4 linked regions of the Cricetulus griseus genome follow. The protein of the gene in region 2 purifies or fractionates together with the protein of the main gene of each other region. This does not show direct contact. Links are inferred from orthologs where the notes say so. Each region holds a gene or a part of one and is shown on either strand. Other genes may lie near its edges.

What was found. The genes of interacting proteins can lie anywhere in the genome.
Region 1: the proteins of Ddx39b (region 2) and pre-mRNA-splicing regulator WTAP purify together in Homo sapiens (affinity purification with mass spectrometry; 3 studies listed by BioGRID and IntAct, with this or other methods). This does not show direct contact. The link is inferred for Cricetulus griseus from reciprocal best matches to the Homo sapiens genes DDX39B and WTAP.
Region 3: the proteins of Ddx39b (region 2) and Dbn1 purify together in Homo sapiens (affinity purification with mass spectrometry, with the first as the bait; 3 studies listed by BioGRID). This does not show direct contact. The link is inferred for Cricetulus griseus from reciprocal best matches to the Homo sapiens genes DDX39B and DBN1.
Region 4: the proteins of Ddx39b (region 2) and Lima1 purify together in Homo sapiens (affinity purification with mass spectrometry, with the first as the bait; 3 studies listed by BioGRID). This does not show direct contact. The link is inferred for Cricetulus griseus from reciprocal best matches to the Homo sapiens genes DDX39B and LIMA1.

Annotation. Positions count from the first base shown.
Region 1 is NC_048595.1:288,069,238-288,073,248, forward strand, and holds the start of pre-mRNA-splicing regulator WTAP, read left to right. Parts: upstream 1-1,211; 5' UTR 1,212-1,343; intron 1,344-1,399; exon of another isoform or gene 1,400-1,543; intron 1,544-2,049; exon of another isoform or gene 2,050-3,031; intron 3,032-4,011. UniProt on the Homo sapiens protein: Associated component of the WMM complex, a complex that mediates N6-methyladenosine (m6A) methylation of RNAs, a modification that plays a role in the efficiency of mRNA splicing and RNA processing.
Region 2 is NW_023276806.1:231,768,226-231,772,464, forward strand, and holds the start of Ddx39b (spliceosome RNA helicase DDX39B), read left to right. Parts: upstream 1-1,439; 5' UTR 1,440-1,596; intron 1,597-2,262; exon of another isoform or gene 2,263-2,285; intron 2,286-2,339; exon of another isoform or gene 2,340-2,415; intron 2,416-2,753; 5' UTR 2,754-2,878; coding exon 2,879-3,089; intron 3,090-3,637; coding exon 3,638-3,765; intron 3,766-3,974; coding exon 3,975-4,067; intron 4,068-4,239. UniProt on the Homo sapiens protein: Involved in nuclear export of spliced and unspliced mRNA. Component of the TREX complex which is thought to couple mRNA transcription, processing and nuclear export, and specifically associates with spliced mRNA and not with unspliced pre-mRNA.
Region 3 is NC_048596.1:274,473,042-274,477,305, reverse strand, and holds the start of Dbn1 (drebrin), read left to right. Parts: upstream 1-1,464; 5' UTR 1,465-1,609; coding exon 1,610-1,695; intron 1,696-4,264. UniProt on the Homo sapiens protein: Actin cytoskeleton-organizing protein that plays a role in the formation of cell projections. Required for actin polymerization at immunological synapses (IS) and for the recruitment of the chemokine receptor CXCR4 to IS.
Region 4 is NC_048595.1:396,312,528-396,316,666, reverse strand, and holds the start of Lima1 (LIM domain and actin-binding protein 1), read left to right. Parts: upstream 1-1,339; 5' UTR 1,340-1,477; intron 1,478-2,630; exon of another isoform or gene 2,631-2,646; intron 2,647-4,139. UniProt on the Homo sapiens protein: Actin-binding protein involved in actin cytoskeleton regulation and dynamics. Increases the number and size of actin stress fibers and inhibits membrane ruffling. Inhibits actin filament depolymerization.

The DNA.
Region 1 (4,011 bases), on a different chromosome or scaffold from region 2:
ATTAATAGTATGTCTCTGAGTAGTTATTTGGGAAGTGATTGCAGTACAGAGCTGATCCTGATCCGGACGAAAAACTCCAACTACTTTGTCATTTGTGTGCATGTATTTCTACTCCTTGCTTTATTCACGTAAACAGTATGCAGACTCATTCCAAAGTAACAAATAACTTTTTGTTTGTTTGGTTTTTTGAGACGGGGTTTCTTGTGTAACAGCTCTGGCTGTCCTGGAACTCTGTAAACCAGCCCGGCCTGGAGATCCGCCTGCCTCTGCCTCCCGAGTGCTGAGATTAAAGGCATGGGCCACCACCGTCGGTAACTATTAATGCCTGCATTCTCTCCAGGAAATGGGATTTCAATGTTTATTTCCGTTATAAACAAAGTTGATCCTCCTCCCATGGTAAAGGATCTTCTCTTTCTGAGAGTCATCTGTTAACCTCCTTCCCCATTTTCTTTAGTTTCCCAAGGCCTTGCGATGTAAAGTGCAATATTTTCAGTTAGCCTAGTGGGACTACACCGTGGCTCTTTTTATCACCCGGTCTATACTGTCATGGTACCCTCATAAATCACCTGAGCCAGGACACCTTCACTGGGGATTAGCAGTTCTCACGGAGCTGGCTAAGCCCAGCAAGCCTAAGAACGGCGTCCCATCTGAGAAGTCACGCCGTTCTTGCTGTGCTCAGGATGGCTGTCGGTCTTCCTGGAGTGTTCCATCTCCAGAATCTGTTCTCGGACACCCCGGACCCTCACCCGGCTGCCTTCCCGGGCTTGCAGCCTAAGGCCCCTCCCGAGCTGCCCACGCGCGCAGCCTCCCTGCTCCTCGATTCACGCCCAGAACCGTCCAGGGGAGCGAAGCGGGCGGCCGCCGCGGGGAGCGGCGGCTCTAAGTCCCCCTAAACTTAGAACGCGGGACGCCCCGGCGTGAAGCCGCTGTCTCCGCGTTCCGGCGCCGGCGCGCGGAAGCATCCCGCGCGGACTGTGTGTCCCGAACCAGCCAATCGCGAGCCGCCTGCTCGGATTCCTCCGCCCAGGCCGTGCTGCAGCCGCAGGTGGCCCGGCCGAGCGCGTCCAGCGGCGGCCGCCGTCCCGAGATGCCTCGCGGGTGACCTCCGACCTCGCGGGCCCGCCCTTCTCTCCGGCCGCTTCCCTCCCCGGCCCGGCTGAGCTTGCAGAGCCCCCACGGGGCAGGTGCGGGACGCGGAGGGCGGCCTGGGCGCGGCGGCTGGCTGCGGCGGCTCCTCCACGCCCCGAGGCCCCGAGCGGGCCGGCCAGACTCCCTTCGCTTCCCCTCCTCGCCGGAGGCGCCCGGCGGGGTGACCGAGGCCGTGCCCGAGAGGCGCGTATCGGGTGAGTGGGCCACGGGCGGGGCGGCGGCGGGGCGCTCGGGCGGGGCGCGCTCGGGGCGGGGCCGGCGGCGGGGCCTGGTTTCCTCCCTCAGCGCCATTTTGTGTCTGCGAGACCCGCAAATAAAGGCTAGCGCCGGGGCTGCGGCGGCGCGGCCTCGGCCTGTGTGACTGGCGGCGCCCGCGCAGCCTCGGGCTGGAAAGGTAGGTGCGGCCGGCAGCGGCGAGGGCCTGCGGGGCCGGGGAGCGAGGCGCGGCCGCCCAGGACCCGGGGAAACGCACGCCGGGCCCGAAGGGCGATCCGGCCTGGGACCGCGCCGGCTTCCCGTTAACCCGGGCGGCTAGCTGCCCGCGGGGACAACGCACCGCCTCGGGGCCGTTTTACTTCCGCCACTGGCGGCCGGGAACGAGGCGGGCGTTCCCGCGGCCGGGGAGGCGGGGAGGCCGGCCGGAGGCCGCCCTCTCGGGGCTGACTGGCCATGCCGGCCCTTTCCCCGCCTCTGTCGCCCCCTCCCACCTCCCAGGGCGGGTTCCCGGCGACCCAGAGGTACCGACGAGTTCTGCCGGGCACAGACCAGAAGGGTTCGGGTTTTTTGAAACCGAATTTCACGTCACGCAATAGCTTGTAGCTGCAGCCGCGTTCTCCCGTGGACTTCCATTTTTAAATAAGTGCATGCATTGTGAGGAGAATTGATTTTTGACAGGTTCGAGACATTTTTCGTCAACTTTCAGTCTCGTTTTGGATCTCTGTGAGGCTGATTTGAACAAACTTAAAACAGTTTTCCATAAGAGTGAATGCACAGTGGGAAAAGGTCTAAGTTTTTGTGTTTGTGTACATGTTTTCTTACGGGGTGGGGGGGCGGCTAGGGATGGAATCCTAGGCCTTGTGCATGCCAGGCCAGCTTTCTGCCTTTGAGCTATTCCCCCGGCCCCCAGTTCTTGGTTTGATAATGAGGAAGTCGGTTAATTTGACCCCAAAGGACTGAAACACTTAACTGGTTGTAAAGATCGGGGGCGTGTTACAGCTTCAAGCAGCATTTAAGTTTCATTTGTTCATAATTTTTATTTATGCCCCTTTACGTCGTTTTCACCCTAGCTTTTTTCATTTAGTTAATTTTATTGATCCGAAAGATGAGTGGAAGTCACAGATCTGTTATTACAAATTCTGGTGTTTTGTTGTTGTCTTTTTTCTTCCCTTTAACTTGCATTTTTGAGCATTAGGACTGGAGAGTTACCTCGGTAGTTAAGAGCACTTTTTGCTCTTCTAAAGGACATGAGTTCCCACAACCCAAATGATGGCTCATGGTCATCCTTGAATCCAGTTCCTGGGATTCTGACTTCCTCTTTTGATATCTGTGGGCGGCACCAGGCCTGCACGTGGTGCACATACATACGTACAGAACATTCATAAATATAAAATCTTTTTTTTCAAGTGGCTGATTTTGTACAACATTCATAAACATAAAATCTTTTAAAATAGCATGTTTTTTTCTAAAGCTGAACATTAGGTTTTCTCATAGGTAAACAGACGTTTGAAATGAAGACGAATTTTCGAGGTGGCTAGGTTTATTCATTCATTCATTCAGTCACGACTGATCAGGGAGTTGAGTAGACTGCAGTCCGACAGGTGGCTTTGGATGTGATTGAAGTTGAATTCTAAGAATTTGGGCAGAGTGCTTTAGTTCTTCACACCTAAGCAGATGAATGTGTTTGCACAACCATATAATATACTGTTTGTAATAGCCTTTTATTTTGGTTTTGGTTTTTCAAGACAGGTTTTCTCTATGGCTTGGGAGGCTGTCCTGGAACTAGCTTTTGTAGACCAGGCTGGCCTCGAACTCAGAGATCTGCCTGCCTCTGCCTCTGCCTCCCTAGTGCTGGGACTAAAGGCATGCACCACCACCGCCCAGCTATAATAGCCTTTTGATGTATTTAGACAGACTTTACAGCTTTCAAGGTCCCTCCTGTCTTTTGTTGTTGTTGTTATAGACTCCCCTTGAAAATATTGTTGGCCGTCTTGATTAGTCCTATGTAATAACAGTTGTATTACTTGTATCATGCTCTTTAGAAGTCTTTAGTCAACCTTTAGCAAAGCAAGATGTAAGATAAAGATAACATTACTCTTGTTTTTAATTATCTCCTGTTTTCTGACTGAATATATGAAAAATTTTCAGTATTCCCCTAGTTGTATAAGCTATTGGATTTAGTGAGACTCTTCCATCAGACTAGAATTCAGTGTTGTCAATGTTCTCTGCCTTAAAGATAGATGCTGGTGGAGTTTATTTTCCTAATGTTTATTAAGTTTTCTATGTTGTTCAAACAATCCTTGTTTGAATAGTGTTTTTTTATGCCACCAATAACAGAGGTATGCAGCATGTTATTCGCCAAGCAACACTGGTTTTACTCTCTTTTACTAATACGGAAACTGAAGCCTAGAGTTAAGTGACTTGTTGGACTAAGCATGTATGACTGACTGAAATAGTGGTCTGATTTGTAACTAGTCCCTTGGTCCTGCAGTGTTGAAGGCCCAGCACTGTCAGGTAATGGTTTCCTTATATCCAGTGTGATTTACTTCAGGGATGCATATACATGTCTTCTTGCATAAGTTATATTGGCTTGTGCTCTCCCTTCTCCAGAGTCTGCTCAGTTGCCTAACTTAGGATCATAGTGTT
Region 2 (4,239 bases):
CCACACTGGCCATTCTGAACACTGGAGAAAACCACGGTGTGATGACAGCTAATTGCTCCAGCTCCTGAAGGTGTGGCCTCAGCCAGGACTGTTTACAATAGTTGGTTACTGGATTTTTTTTTTTGCCTTCACAAGCCTTGATGGACTCTAGATGACACTCAGTCCCCATGTCATGGTCTCCCACCCACCCCACTCCCATGGTATGGTGGAACTTCCTATAGCCCTGGAGCAGAGGATGTGTGCTAAAGGGGCAATGTCCTGACTGGTGCAAACACAAGCCTTGATTTGCACGACTTTGCTGTGTTGGTGCAAACATCCTTTGCAGGCTGTAAAGTAGAAGTTTGACTCAGTTGGGGGGCTCAACGGGGATAAACCTCACTATGTTACTCTCCTCAGTGCTACTACGTTAGGTTCAATAAAAGGCCTCTCCCGAGGGGTGTTTCCTGGCCTTTTAGGAACAACAGGAAGAAAGAGGTGGCCTAGAGCCTGCCGTCTGGCTTACTACAAGAGTTCCTGGGAACTTCAAAGCCATAGGCCCCTGGAGCTAAAGCATTTCCTACTTTACCAGGGGCCGAGGAATCCCCACCTACTCCTAGGCGGTGGGAGGGGGGCGGCTGTCAGATGCTGAGGGTTGCGGACGAGGGTGCCAACTTAACAGCTGAGTAAAGTGTGCTAACAGGGGAAGCTCGCGCTTATAGTCGGCAGGACATCGCTCCTCGTGTATGCAGCATCTCAAAGAAGGGAGAACCACGTGTTTAGAGGGGGAAGAAGGCCCAGGCTGAACAATGGAGCCGCTGTGGTGGGACTAAGAGCACTCTGCCCTAATTAATAACCATGGAGCCGCGCGTTGGTGGCGCACGCGTTAATCCCCGCACTAGGGAGGCAGAGGCAGGCGGATCTCTGTGAGTTCGAGGCCAGCCTGGTCTCCAGAGCGAGCGCCAGGACAGGCTCCAAAGCCGCACGGAGAAACCCTGTCTCGAGAAAACCGATGATAACGACAACAACTATGGAAAGCTGCGAAGCCCTCAAACGCACCGTTTATTTTGTTAACGCGCGGGCAGAATGCAAACCTCCATCTCCTAAGTGGCCGCCTTGCCGCCGCCATTTGGGGCAGCTCCGCTCGTTCCCAGCGCAGCCGCGAAGGGCGTGCCCGCCCCCCCACCTCCCCCGGCCCCGGGAGCCTGACTGAGCTCGGCACCCTCAGGTCACCTTGGGTGCCAGGCTAAGGGCGCCGTGAGGACGCGTCCCGCTCGGCACGCAGACTCCGCGGTGCCCGAGGGCAGCCTGCGGGGAAAGGACGAAGGACGCCGCGGTGAGGGGGCGGGGAGGTGCGAGCCCGCGTCGCGCTCCGGTCACCGGCGGCGGCGGCGGCGGAGTCGGAAGACCTTTTCCGAAGGCACCCCCGAGCGGGCGCGGCCGGAGCCTCCAGGACCGCCGGCTTCCGGCTGCCGACTTCCGGTTTCCGGCATCGCGCGCCTGCGCCCTGGCGGCCGGGAAGGCGGCAGGCCGGGGGGGAAAAGCGCCCGGGACCGGAAGTGAAGGCAGGTTCCCGCCTGCGTCCCCGCCGCCGCCGCCATACGCGCTCGCAGTGCTTAGGTAAGCTGGGGCCTTGCGCGCCATCCGCCGCCATCCGCTCCGGCCCCGCCGCGCCCGCGCGCGCGCCCCTGATACCCGTCGCCCGGGCGGCGGCCTGGCCGCTGCGGCTCGGTCGGGCGCGCGGTGCCGTCGTTTTCGTCCCTTTCTGAGCGAACCTCGGTGGGGAGCGGGGAGACGGGGGCGACGATCCAAAATGGAGGCCCGGGCCGCCATTGTGTCCCCCGCTTCCTGGGTGGCCCGTGGGTCCCCTTCCCGCGCGGGCCGCAGCGGCCGGAGGCGGCGCTGGCGGGAGGGCGGGCCCGGCGCGGCCCGCGGCGGGGACGAGCAGCCGCCAGGGCCTCTGCTTGCCCGCTGCGGCGTCGGCGCTCCCGGAATGCTCACCTTCGGGGAGGAGCGAGGCTGGGGCGCGCCAGACGCTGTCAAGGCCGCTTGGCACCAAGTCCCAGCCTGAGGGTTGCATTTCCCCAGCTGAGAGCCTGCGGCTTTGAAAGCCCACCCTTGTGGCGAGCGCCTCGCGCGTGGCCGGGCAGGCATTAAAATGTAACTGTCTGCGCTGCCGGCTTCTGGCGTTGTTTGCCTGCTTTTTGGCCTTGAGCCCCTGGCGCCCCTGCTCCCGCGGTTAGGTGCAGCGGGCCCGCCTCCCCGCCCTCCGTCCTTCAGCTCCTGCTCCCCCAGGACTGGGGTCCCAGGTGAGCGCCTCCAGCGCGGCACGCAGGTGCCGCTGGACAGGGGAGTAAGTAGCAGCCACGTGATGTTTGCAATGGGAAGTGAGCGCTCCGCGCAGTGCTGACCTTCATCTATCACCCTTGACTGATGGCTGCTGGGGGGACCAACACCGTGGGGCCACAGGGAGAGCGCAGTCTGAGGTCCCCTCCTGTCCCACGCATTGTCACCCTCCCGCGGGTGGCTTCGGGCTCATCTTTTCACGGTCTCGGGAGTTGCTCCTCTTGGGTCAAAGTGCGAGCCCAAGTCTGTCCAGCAGTCACACCCGAGACCACTCTCCATTTTTTCTCGCCCGGTGTTCGTTTTCTCTTACTTTTCTTCCAGGGCAGAGGTTTGTAGTTGAGGGAGAACACGAAGAAAGTGAGGGTGGGCGAGAAGTCCCTACGTGACTGATGAGCTCTTCTTTTTTTTTTTTTTTTTGTTCTCTCTCCCAGCTCTTCTGTCGGGAAACTGGTGTCTCTTCCCTTGCTGTTCCTCAGCCCCCTCTCTCCCCCTTGCTTTCTCACCTTCTCTGGGACCACTCACCCAAAGACCTCCCTTCTCCCCTGCCGGCCCAATTATGGCAGAGAATGATGTGGACAATGAGCTCTTGGACTATGAAGACGACGAGGTGGAGACAGCAGCAGGTGGAGATGGGACGGAAGCTCCTGCCAAGAAAGACGTGAAGGGCTCCTACGTCTCCATCCACAGCTCCGGCTTTCGAGACTTCCTGCTCAAGCCAGAGTTGCTCCGGGCCATCGTGGACTGTGGCTTTGAGCATCCATCAGAGGGTACATTTTATTGTTGGGCATAGGGACCTCATGATGCATCTTAAAGATGGGATTTGTGTTTAGGGTATATAGGCCAGGCAATGAGAATGTACCCAGATGTTAGCGCTAGAAGATGCTTGTTAGCTTTGATCACACAGGATGCTGTTTGTCCTGTGCCCAGGTTTTCTTGTTTGCTTGATCGTCTTTCTGACTGTTTGGCTGGAGTTTTACATCCAGTATTTTGGGCCAGGCCACCTGGGGTCTTAATGATTGCTCTAAAGTTGCTGGCTTCTGGGGCAAGTACCAAGTCCTTCATTTTGTCCAAGGTTATAGAATGCCAGGCACATGGAAGGTAAGCTGTTGGTAGGTGCAAGAGGGTTTGCGCCAGGGAAACCTGAAGCTAGGATGCAGTTGAGACTTGATTTGGGTGTAAATGTGACTAAGGGGACAGAGAGGATGGGTCAGTCTGAAAAGTGACAGGGACCAGGCAAAATCTGGAGAATCAACTCGAGGAAAGGGGTTTGGTATGGTGCATAAAGTCTCTCTCTTTCTCCCCTTTTTCCTTCTAGTCCAGCATGAATGCATCCCACAGGCCATTCTGGGGATGGATGTCCTGTGCCAGGCCAAGTCAGGCATGGGGAAGACAGCAGTGTTTGTCCTGGCCACACTGCAGCAGCTGGAGCCAATCACTGGGCAGGTGTGTTTGAGGCAGTGCTGCAGAGGGCTTTGAGGCCGATACACTGAAGGCTGTTTGTGGCTACATAATGCTTACAGCAGCAAGGCTTACTGTTTTAAACCTCAGATTTGATGTCACAAATAACTTGACAGATGCTGCTGTTGACAGTCACTCTGGAGAGAGGGTGACAAAGGACTGATAGGGTGTTGTCTCCATTTGTTCCCTTGAAGGTGTCTGTGCTGGTGATGTGTCACACTAGGGAGTTGGCTTTTCAGATCAGCAAGGAATACGAGCGCTTCTCAAAGTACATGCCGAATGTCAAGGTAAGGGTGAGGCGCTTGGGACAGCGGAGGTCCTGGGAGCTTGTGGGGTAACAGTTGACTGTCCTGAGGCATGGAGCCGCTGTAATTGATGAGTTCCTGAAGGCTGCATAGGAGCCTTTAGTACAGTGACAGGCTCTTCTGATCCACAAAGTCAGTTCAGGGGCCCTGGGCT
Region 3 (4,264 bases), on a different chromosome or scaffold from region 2:
AACCTCTAAGCCTCCCCGCTCCCCAGGAGGGCACTCTTCACAGACTCAAGCTCTGACCCCACTCTGGCTTCTGACCCTTTCTTTTCCTACCTCCGTCATCACCATTACATCCCACCTGCATCTAGGGCCCATGGGCCTAGGACTGACCATTCCCCGGCCTCATTATAGGTGTGAGTGGTGGGGAAACTGGGATGGTGTGTGTGTGTGTGTGTGTGTGTGTGTGTGTGTGTGTGTGTGTGTGTGTGTGTGGTGGGCACCCAGAGCTCCTGAGGCAGGGCCTGTGAAATGTGGGATCTTAAAGCCTCCCCCCTTCATCCCAGTCCAAAGCATTGCGGTGAGCGTACACACTGGCTTCGTGGCTAGATGACTGACCAAATCAGAGCAGGAGACTACTCACTGAAACCACCTCCTCTTCACAGATTAGCCCCAGTAGAGCTTGGCCAGGCTCTGGGTTCTGGCCCCTCCCTGGGGAAAGGGTTGATGGTGATGGACAGGTCTTCTGGAGCTGCGGGCTGCGGGGGGGGGGGGGGGGGCTCCAGCGTCCTCCATTCCACAGGAGAGAGTGCCGGGAGGCCTTTCTGTGCCTCCACTTACCCATAGGAGACTCTGTGAGGCCCAGGCCTTTCTGCGCTCAGAGCTTTGGGAAATAACAGACGCCAGAAAGTTCACCCTGGAGTGTCTTTGGAGGTTCTCTGCCTTGGAGACCCTACTTGGAGTTCCTTAGGAGGTACGGTGTTTGGAAAAGAAGAATGATTTCCTAGACACCCATCCAGGAGGAAGAAAATGACTGGGATGGCCAGGTGATGAGCTGGGTGGGGTAGAGTGGCTGAGACAAGGTCATAGGGCAGGGATGGAGGGAGGGGTATGGTCAGGGAGAGGGGTCTGAGCGGGATTCAGACAGGCTGGCATAGCTAGAGGGGGTGTGCTGTGTTAGCTGGGACAGGACTGCTTTTGGCCCTGGGAGTGACGACGGTAGACCAGGAGGGGTCCTCACGGAGGAAATGGGCTATTGACAACCCAGGCTTGGCTTGATGGGGAACTAAATTGGAGCAGGGACAGGGTAAGGACCAGAATGGGTTTAATGTAGGGTGGGATGGACCTGGGAATGAGGTGAGGTTCGGCTGGAGTGAAATCAATCAAGGGGCTCAATGGACCAGTTATTCTGGGGAGGCAGAGAGGGGTGAACTTGGGCCTGGAATCTTGGTGGGTTTAGAATTTAGGGAGAGGGTGTCTACTAGGTTGGGGACTAGGACAAGGCAGGTTCATGGGACTGGCCCTGGGAGCAGAGTGGGAGCTTAAGGTCCGGGTACAGGTCAGCGGGGCAAGGGGCATGGGGGCGCCCCGGGGCAAGCTGGGAAGGGGGGGTGGACCTCCCCCTGGGCCGGGCCTGGGCGGCGCTAGGACCGAGCGAGCGAGCCGAGGGAGTGAGCCGGGCGGAGCCAGCGCCCCCCGCCCCCGCCGGCCGGCTCCCCTCCCCCGGCCGCTGGCTCGTTCGCTCTCAGCGCTGCAGAGGCTCTGAGGCGGCCGCGGCGACTCCCTCATCCCCTCCCTCCGGTGTCGGTCGGTCCGTCCGTGCGTCTGTCCGTTCGGTCTCGGTCCGGCCCGCAGCATGGCCGGCGTGAGCTTCAGCGGCCACCGCCTGGAGCTGCTGGCGGCGTACGAGGAGGTGATCCGGGAGGAAAGCGCGGCCGACTGGTGAGCCCCCGCCCCCGCCCCGCCCCCGGCCCTTTGTCCCCAGGCCGCCACCGCGCCTTTGTTTCTCGGAGGCTCTGCCACCGGGAAGGGAGGGGGATCTCCCGAAATGGTGCAACGGCCCGGGAGAGCCGGGGAGGGGCTGCCTTTGTGCGAGCCGGGGGAGGGGCCGGTCGGGCCAGGCGGGGCGCGCGAGCCGGGGAGCCCCGAGGCCGCCCTGGGCGCACTGGGGGCGCGGGAGCCGGACGCCTGCCACGCGGATGTGGAGCTCAAAGGTGGGGCCCGGGGTCCTACGGCCCCGCCGGAGCCCATCCCCTCCCCCCCAGCCTCCCTCCACGGGCCCGGGGGACAGGTGTGCACGGGCCAGCCAAGGGCACCTTCGCCACCTTCGAGCGGGCGAGGACCGGGTGGGGACGGGGCGGGGACCGAGCTAGCGGAGCTGGAGCAGCCTGGCCGGCCACAGCACAAAGGAAAGCTAGGGCGGGGGAGGAGCGCAGAGGGCCGGGGGCCAGCGTGCCCCGCCCACCAGGGGCTTCTCAGGGTTGTCTCCCCCCACATCTAGGTTAGGGTGTGATAGAAAGGGGCGCACGGCCACATGGCAACCACGAAGTGACTCCTTTATCCCTCCCGGATCGCAGAGGAAGAGAGGTAGGGCTGAGCCCTTCTCTCCCCTTCTGAAGGAGGAGATCGTTAGGGACTAGGCAGCTAGGCAGGAAGAGACCCAGGACATGGACCCAGGCAGCTTGTCTAGAAGGCCAGCTAGGAGGAAGCATGGTGGGAGCCCCCGCTGAGGGATACCACGATGAGTAGATCTCTGGGACCCTAGCCTCTTCACTCTACCAGGGGCTGTCAGCCTCTTATTAGGGTGGTATGAGTGGACCTGCGTCTCTCCCCCTCCCCAGCTGTTATCCTCCCTGAGGTGGAGGAGGGTTTAAACCACCTGCTCAGCGGCTGAAGCCCCAGGGTGTCAGGCAAACCAAGGGGTTTGATGCCCCATTCTGAACACAGCCCCCAAGTGTTCTTCTTAGGGAGCAAATCTCCATTTTGCATTTAGGTCTCTTCACCTCATCAGACAGAAAGTAGGCTCCTCTTGAGTTGGGGCTGGTCTGAGGACCCCAGTTGGGCTGGCCACACTCTGGGAGGGCAGCCAGGTAGGGGGCCTGGAGGAGGGAACAAAATAGCCAGGCCTCCATGCCATGGTACTGCAGCACTGGCGGGCAGCCAGGCCCAGAGGGATGGACTCAGGAGACAAGTTCTTGTGTCTTGCAGGTCAGTTATAGGAGAGGCTGAACAGGCCAAGCAGGCAATCCCCACATTGTTGTCCCAGCCCTGTCCCTGGGGGGCTGAGATCATGGGAGGCAATCTGGGCAAGTGGCCTGCTTGGACTGGTGGAAGAGCTGGTTTGGGGATATGGCCCTGCCTGAGGAGAAACACTGACTGGAACCCTGCCTTCCTCCCCAGTCTAGGGGGGGTGTAGGCAGCACCCCAAATCTCTTAACCCCTCAGAAGCAGACACTGGCAGTACAATGCTGGGCCTATCCAACTCCTGCTGCCCCGCATCCTGCTCAGCAGAGGCCGGGGCTTTCACCACCAGCAACATCCATGTGGCCAAAGGGAGTTAGTTATGCATCCTTGGCATGCGTCAGCCCCATCTGGGTGGTGTGTGGGACACACACACACAGCTGCACATATACACCCCTGGAATGCATATATGTTTGCTTCCTCCCAAGGGCCTAACAGCATGTTGTGAACAGGGTGTGAAGATCACATTTTACAGAAGATGGCATGATCCTTCCCAGCTCTTATCACACAGCCAGGAACTGAGTGAGGTCCCAAGGTTCAGTGCAGGCCCTGCAGGAGGAGGTCCTGGGTCCAAATGTTGGGGCATGAGTATTTGGTGTCTGTCTTTGAATGTGGGTGTGGTGGAGCTTAGGGAAGCTGAGCCCTAGGTGGCAGGGTCTCTTCAGAGGACCACTGCCTTGCGCTGGAAGCAGAACACTGGGGAAGTCAGATTGTGCATTTGGAAAGGCCAGCAGCACCCTGGTTACGATATGATTCATTGTGTGAGAAGTTCCTGCTCTTCTGAAGCTTCTGAGAGAAGAGGGGGCTGGGCACAGCCCCTGCAGGGTTTCCAGGGCCTTTCCAGCTCTAGCTCCCTGACAGTATGCTGGTCCTCAGCCTTCCACTCCTAGCAGGCCTGGAGCTGCTGAAGTCCCACTCTCACCTTGCCCTAGTCTCGTGCCTGTGGCTTAGATGGTTGATAAGAGTTTGTGCCAACATTACAAATCCCTACAGTGGTGCTACTTTGAGCTGGACCCAGGACGGAGACAGCAGTTGGTATTAGCAGAGTCAGAGTTTTGCCTTCACAGAACTGACATGACAGTCTGTGGCAGTCACTGTCTCCAGGGTTTAATGCTACCGAGGGGAGCACATCTACAGTCCCCTCATCCACGTTTACTTTTTTGCTTGCCTCCCAGTTCCCACCAGCCGGTCACCAGGTGCTTGTGGTATGGTAGAGAGACGTTGTCCAGCAGGGTCTGGGGCTAGAACAGATGTCTGTGTTAGCGTCATG
Region 4 (4,139 bases), on a different chromosome or scaffold from region 2:
ATAAAGTGTTGAGTTTTTCCTAGAGTTTTTCTTAAGTACATTTATCCAGAAGTTGGTCTAGGTTAGATAATTGAATGAAGAGGCTGTTCTGTCATTGGAAATTGTTCATCTCCTTACAACATACCAACTGCTTTTTGTAGTTCTATTGTTGTTAGTCATTGTCACTCTGCAAAACAGGCTGTCCAGGCAACCATTCCACCTCAGACTTACGGCTGCTAGGATGAAGGTCATACATCATCGTGTCCTGTCTTGAGGACTATCATACCATTAGCCCTTATAACACTTATCAATGCTTACATGAAAAGCTTCAGAATTCCTTCCTTTCATTTGACACTTTACTTTGGGAAAGGGTACTATCAAAGGGTTCATCACACAGAGGAATGAGGCGGGAGAAAGTATCTGAGAGCTAGATGGCCAAATGCTTTGCCTCCTCATGGTCTTTACAGCTCCTAATATCCTAAGTGCAGCAACAGAAATAGCTCGTGTAGACACTTTTGAGAAGCTCGAGTCCACTCTAGGGCATGAGCGACTGCCCTTCTCTTACAAGCCTCTTTTAAAAAAGATTTGCATTTCTCTTTATTTGTGTGTGTGTGTGTGTGTGTGTGTGTGTGTGTGTGTGTGAGAGAGAGAGAGAGAGAGAGAAAGAGAGAGAGAGAGAGAGAGAGAGAGAGAGAGAGAGAGAGAGCGCACACGCACGCAGGTGCTCATGTAGGCCAGAAGATGGTGTCAGATCCCCCAGGATCAGAAGGTAACGGGCAGTTGTGAGTCAACAGCTCCAAGTGATGATCTTCAAGCTACACAGTGAGTTCCATGCCAACTTCAACTACATCAGATGACTCCCACCTCCAGTCTCAAAAAAAAAAAAAAAAAAAGGAAAAGAAAAGAAAAAAAAAATCAAAGCTCTTGAGGATTTTGGACACCACCTACTCTCTTCCAGCTCTTTCTTTCCATGAGGAAACTCAGGTCTACTAAGGTGAAGTGACTTAATGCTAGTCTGAGCCAGGCCTCATTCACAGCTCTTTGCAGCACAGGTCATGGCCTCTTGTAAAATACCTCTGCACAGAACTTACCCTGACAGCACCAGGAACTTCCCTGCCGCTGAACTTAGACCAGACTTCTGAGTGAATCTCAAATCAAATTGCGGCAATCCCTAATCAGAGACAGCTAAGGGTGAGCCAGAGAGGAAACAACAGGCAGTCACGGGAGCCACGCCTCCCGCAACGCCACAGGGCTACCGCGACGTTAGCGATCACGAGTCGAATACGCCACCGGGAGCGAGCACGCTCGCCCCAGGCCCCTCGAGAGGCGGGAGGCGTGCGCGCCTCCGCACTGGGGGTGTGGACGGGGCGTGGCCCTGAGCCGGAACGGGGCGGGGCCGCCGAGCTGTAGGTGCTGCTGCCCAGTCGCGACAGGTGCGCTAGGCAGAGCGTAGGGACTGTGGCCGTGCAACGCCGAGCACCGACGACTTTCTAGTCTGGTAAGACCCTCCTCTCCCCTCATCCACGGAGCCTGTGTGTACTCGGAGGTCCCGGCTACACTCCGCGCCTTTTGAGACGGGGTGCAACAGGAGCGGGAACTTCTCCCCTGGGGGTCGCCAATGGAGGAACCTCCCACCCTGCACTCGCCCTTCTGGGAAGTGCGCCGGGATGAGTCTTTGCTGCCCCGGCCCTTGGTCTCCCACGTGATGGAGGGAAAGTGGCAGTTCAGCAAAAGTCAAAACTCCCTCTCAGGGAGATAATTCAGCAACTCTTTCCTTCTTCCATGCGGCCGTTCCCTCTCGTTTTTCTCCCTTCCATTCCTCCAGATGAACTCTGATAAAGACTTAACATAGCAGATTCTACTTGCTGTCCTACTCAAATCCCTCTCATGTACTTGAGCTGGGACCCGCTGGTCACTCACATCCGTAGGTGTTAATATTAGGTAACTGTACACCCCATGCCACACACACTAACGCTTGAATTTGTGGGTGCTAGGAGTGAACCATCTGGCGCCCGTCCTAGCCTCCTTATTGGTGCTCAGAACAATGAGTTTAGCTGATCCTGGTGAGAGATACCGACCTTCTATTGTCTTGCAACTAATTCCAGCTTTCAAAAATCTGCCTAATCCAAATGGTTCCGTTGACTTTACAAGTTAGCCAAAGGCTCTGGGGTTATCACTTTTTAAGACAGTGCCCCTTGGAAGAGAGATCATCTTTTGCACCTAAGTGGGTAAGTGGAATACTTTTTATCTACATAGTTACTGGTGCAATATACATTCTAGCTAGCGTCTACAGAAGGCCTTTCCGAATTCTATGGATAAAGTGTGCTCTTGTTTAGACAACCTTCAAAAAGCTATAAAGTTGGTAGAAAAGTTTTCTGTTTTCAAGAAACAACTAATTCGCCTTCCCTCCTCGCCCTTCTACTTCTTTAAAAAGTTCCTGGCTGGCCTTGAGCTGGCTATATGGATCAGGCTGACAGAGATGTGGCTGCTTCTGCCTCTCAAAAGCTAGGTTTAAAGGTGCTTCACCATCCCTGGATATACATACAAACATACATACATACATACATACATACATACATACATACATACATATCCGTGTGTGTGTGTGTGTGTGTGTGTGTGTGTGTGTGTGTGTGTGTGTGTGAGAATACCAGCACAGTGTGCCATGGCAGGTTTCTGTAGGTCAGAGGACAGTTGGTTCTCTCCACCTTGGGATTTGAGGATCAAACTCAGGTCATCAGTCTTTTGTAGTAAATGTTTTCACATGCTGAGCCATCTTGCCAGCCTGGAAAGGTTTTTTTTTTTTTTTTTTTCTTTTTTTTTTTTCAGTTACTGTTTTACATTTATTGGGTGTGTATGTGTATGTGCCATGGCATGTGTGTTGTGTGTAGGTCAGAGAACAACTGTGGGAGTCTGTTCTTTTCTTCCACCATGTGAGTTCCAGGGATTAAATTCAAGGTGTCAGGCTTCGTGGCAAGCACCTTTTACCTGATGAGCCATCTTGCCAGCCTAGAAAAGGTTACCTGTTTTTAAAGGTCTGCACACACACACACACATATATTTGCATTGACAGAATAATATAACATGGTACTAAATTATGTTAGGAATGAGGGGGGACAAAACACTTTTTTTCTCAGTGAATTTTATGTCAGTTCTTTTGTAGATTCAAAGTTCCAAAGTCCCTACCCTAAAAGAGCCTACAATTAAGTGGGTTAGGCAACACCACAGATACAACTTACAGTATTGGTGAAATCATTTGCCATTATTACCCTCGGAAAACCCACAAGTGTGTTGGGTATCAAACCCTGGGGCGTGCACATGCTAGAAAAGCACTCCCAACTGCTGTGTGTTTTACCACTCATATTTCTTGCCTTGTCTTTGGTCAGTAGCTCTATGGCCCTTTGAAAATGGGGTTGGAACATGTTTAATTCTCCAGCAATTAAGTAGATAGGTAGCTATTTATTGTTAATGTGTTAGATGCAGAAATAGTGTTATCAGGTGGTCCCTGAACCATGGAGTATGTGGGCTGAGACAGTGTGTGGCATGGTTAGCAAAGCAGTGCCGTTTTGTAAAAATTACCTCATTGTGTGACTTTGTTTGACTTGGTACATTCAGGCTTTGTTCCCGACTCTAGTTAAAGGTGGAGCCAAGTTTCAACCTAATAATTCTAGGAAGAGAAAGCTTCAGAAATGAAAACAATTCTATTAACAGCAGAGACACTTCTCACTGCTTAGATACTCTTTAAATGTCTTGTTTTGACTCTGGGTGTAGCTCTGTGGTAGAGTGGGTTTAGCATGTGAGAGCCTGTGTCCCATCCCCAGAACATGCACACACAGATTATGAAATAGATTTTGTCTTAGGTCTGTTAGAGGAAGAGGTTGGAGCCTATGAGGGTTCTGTGGAGAATTTTGATGATCTGATATCTGAACTTTATGGTAGCCTTTGAAGACTCTTCATTTGGAGCTAGAGAGATGGCTCAGTGGTTAAGAGCATAGGCTGCTCTTCTAGAGGACCCAGGTTCAATTATCAGAACCCACATGACAGTCACAACTGTCTGTAACTCCAGTTCCAGGGAATCTGGTGCACTGACGTGATTGAAGGCAAAATAACAATGCGCATAAAAATAAATAGAATATTAAAAAAATAATAATAAGAAGAAA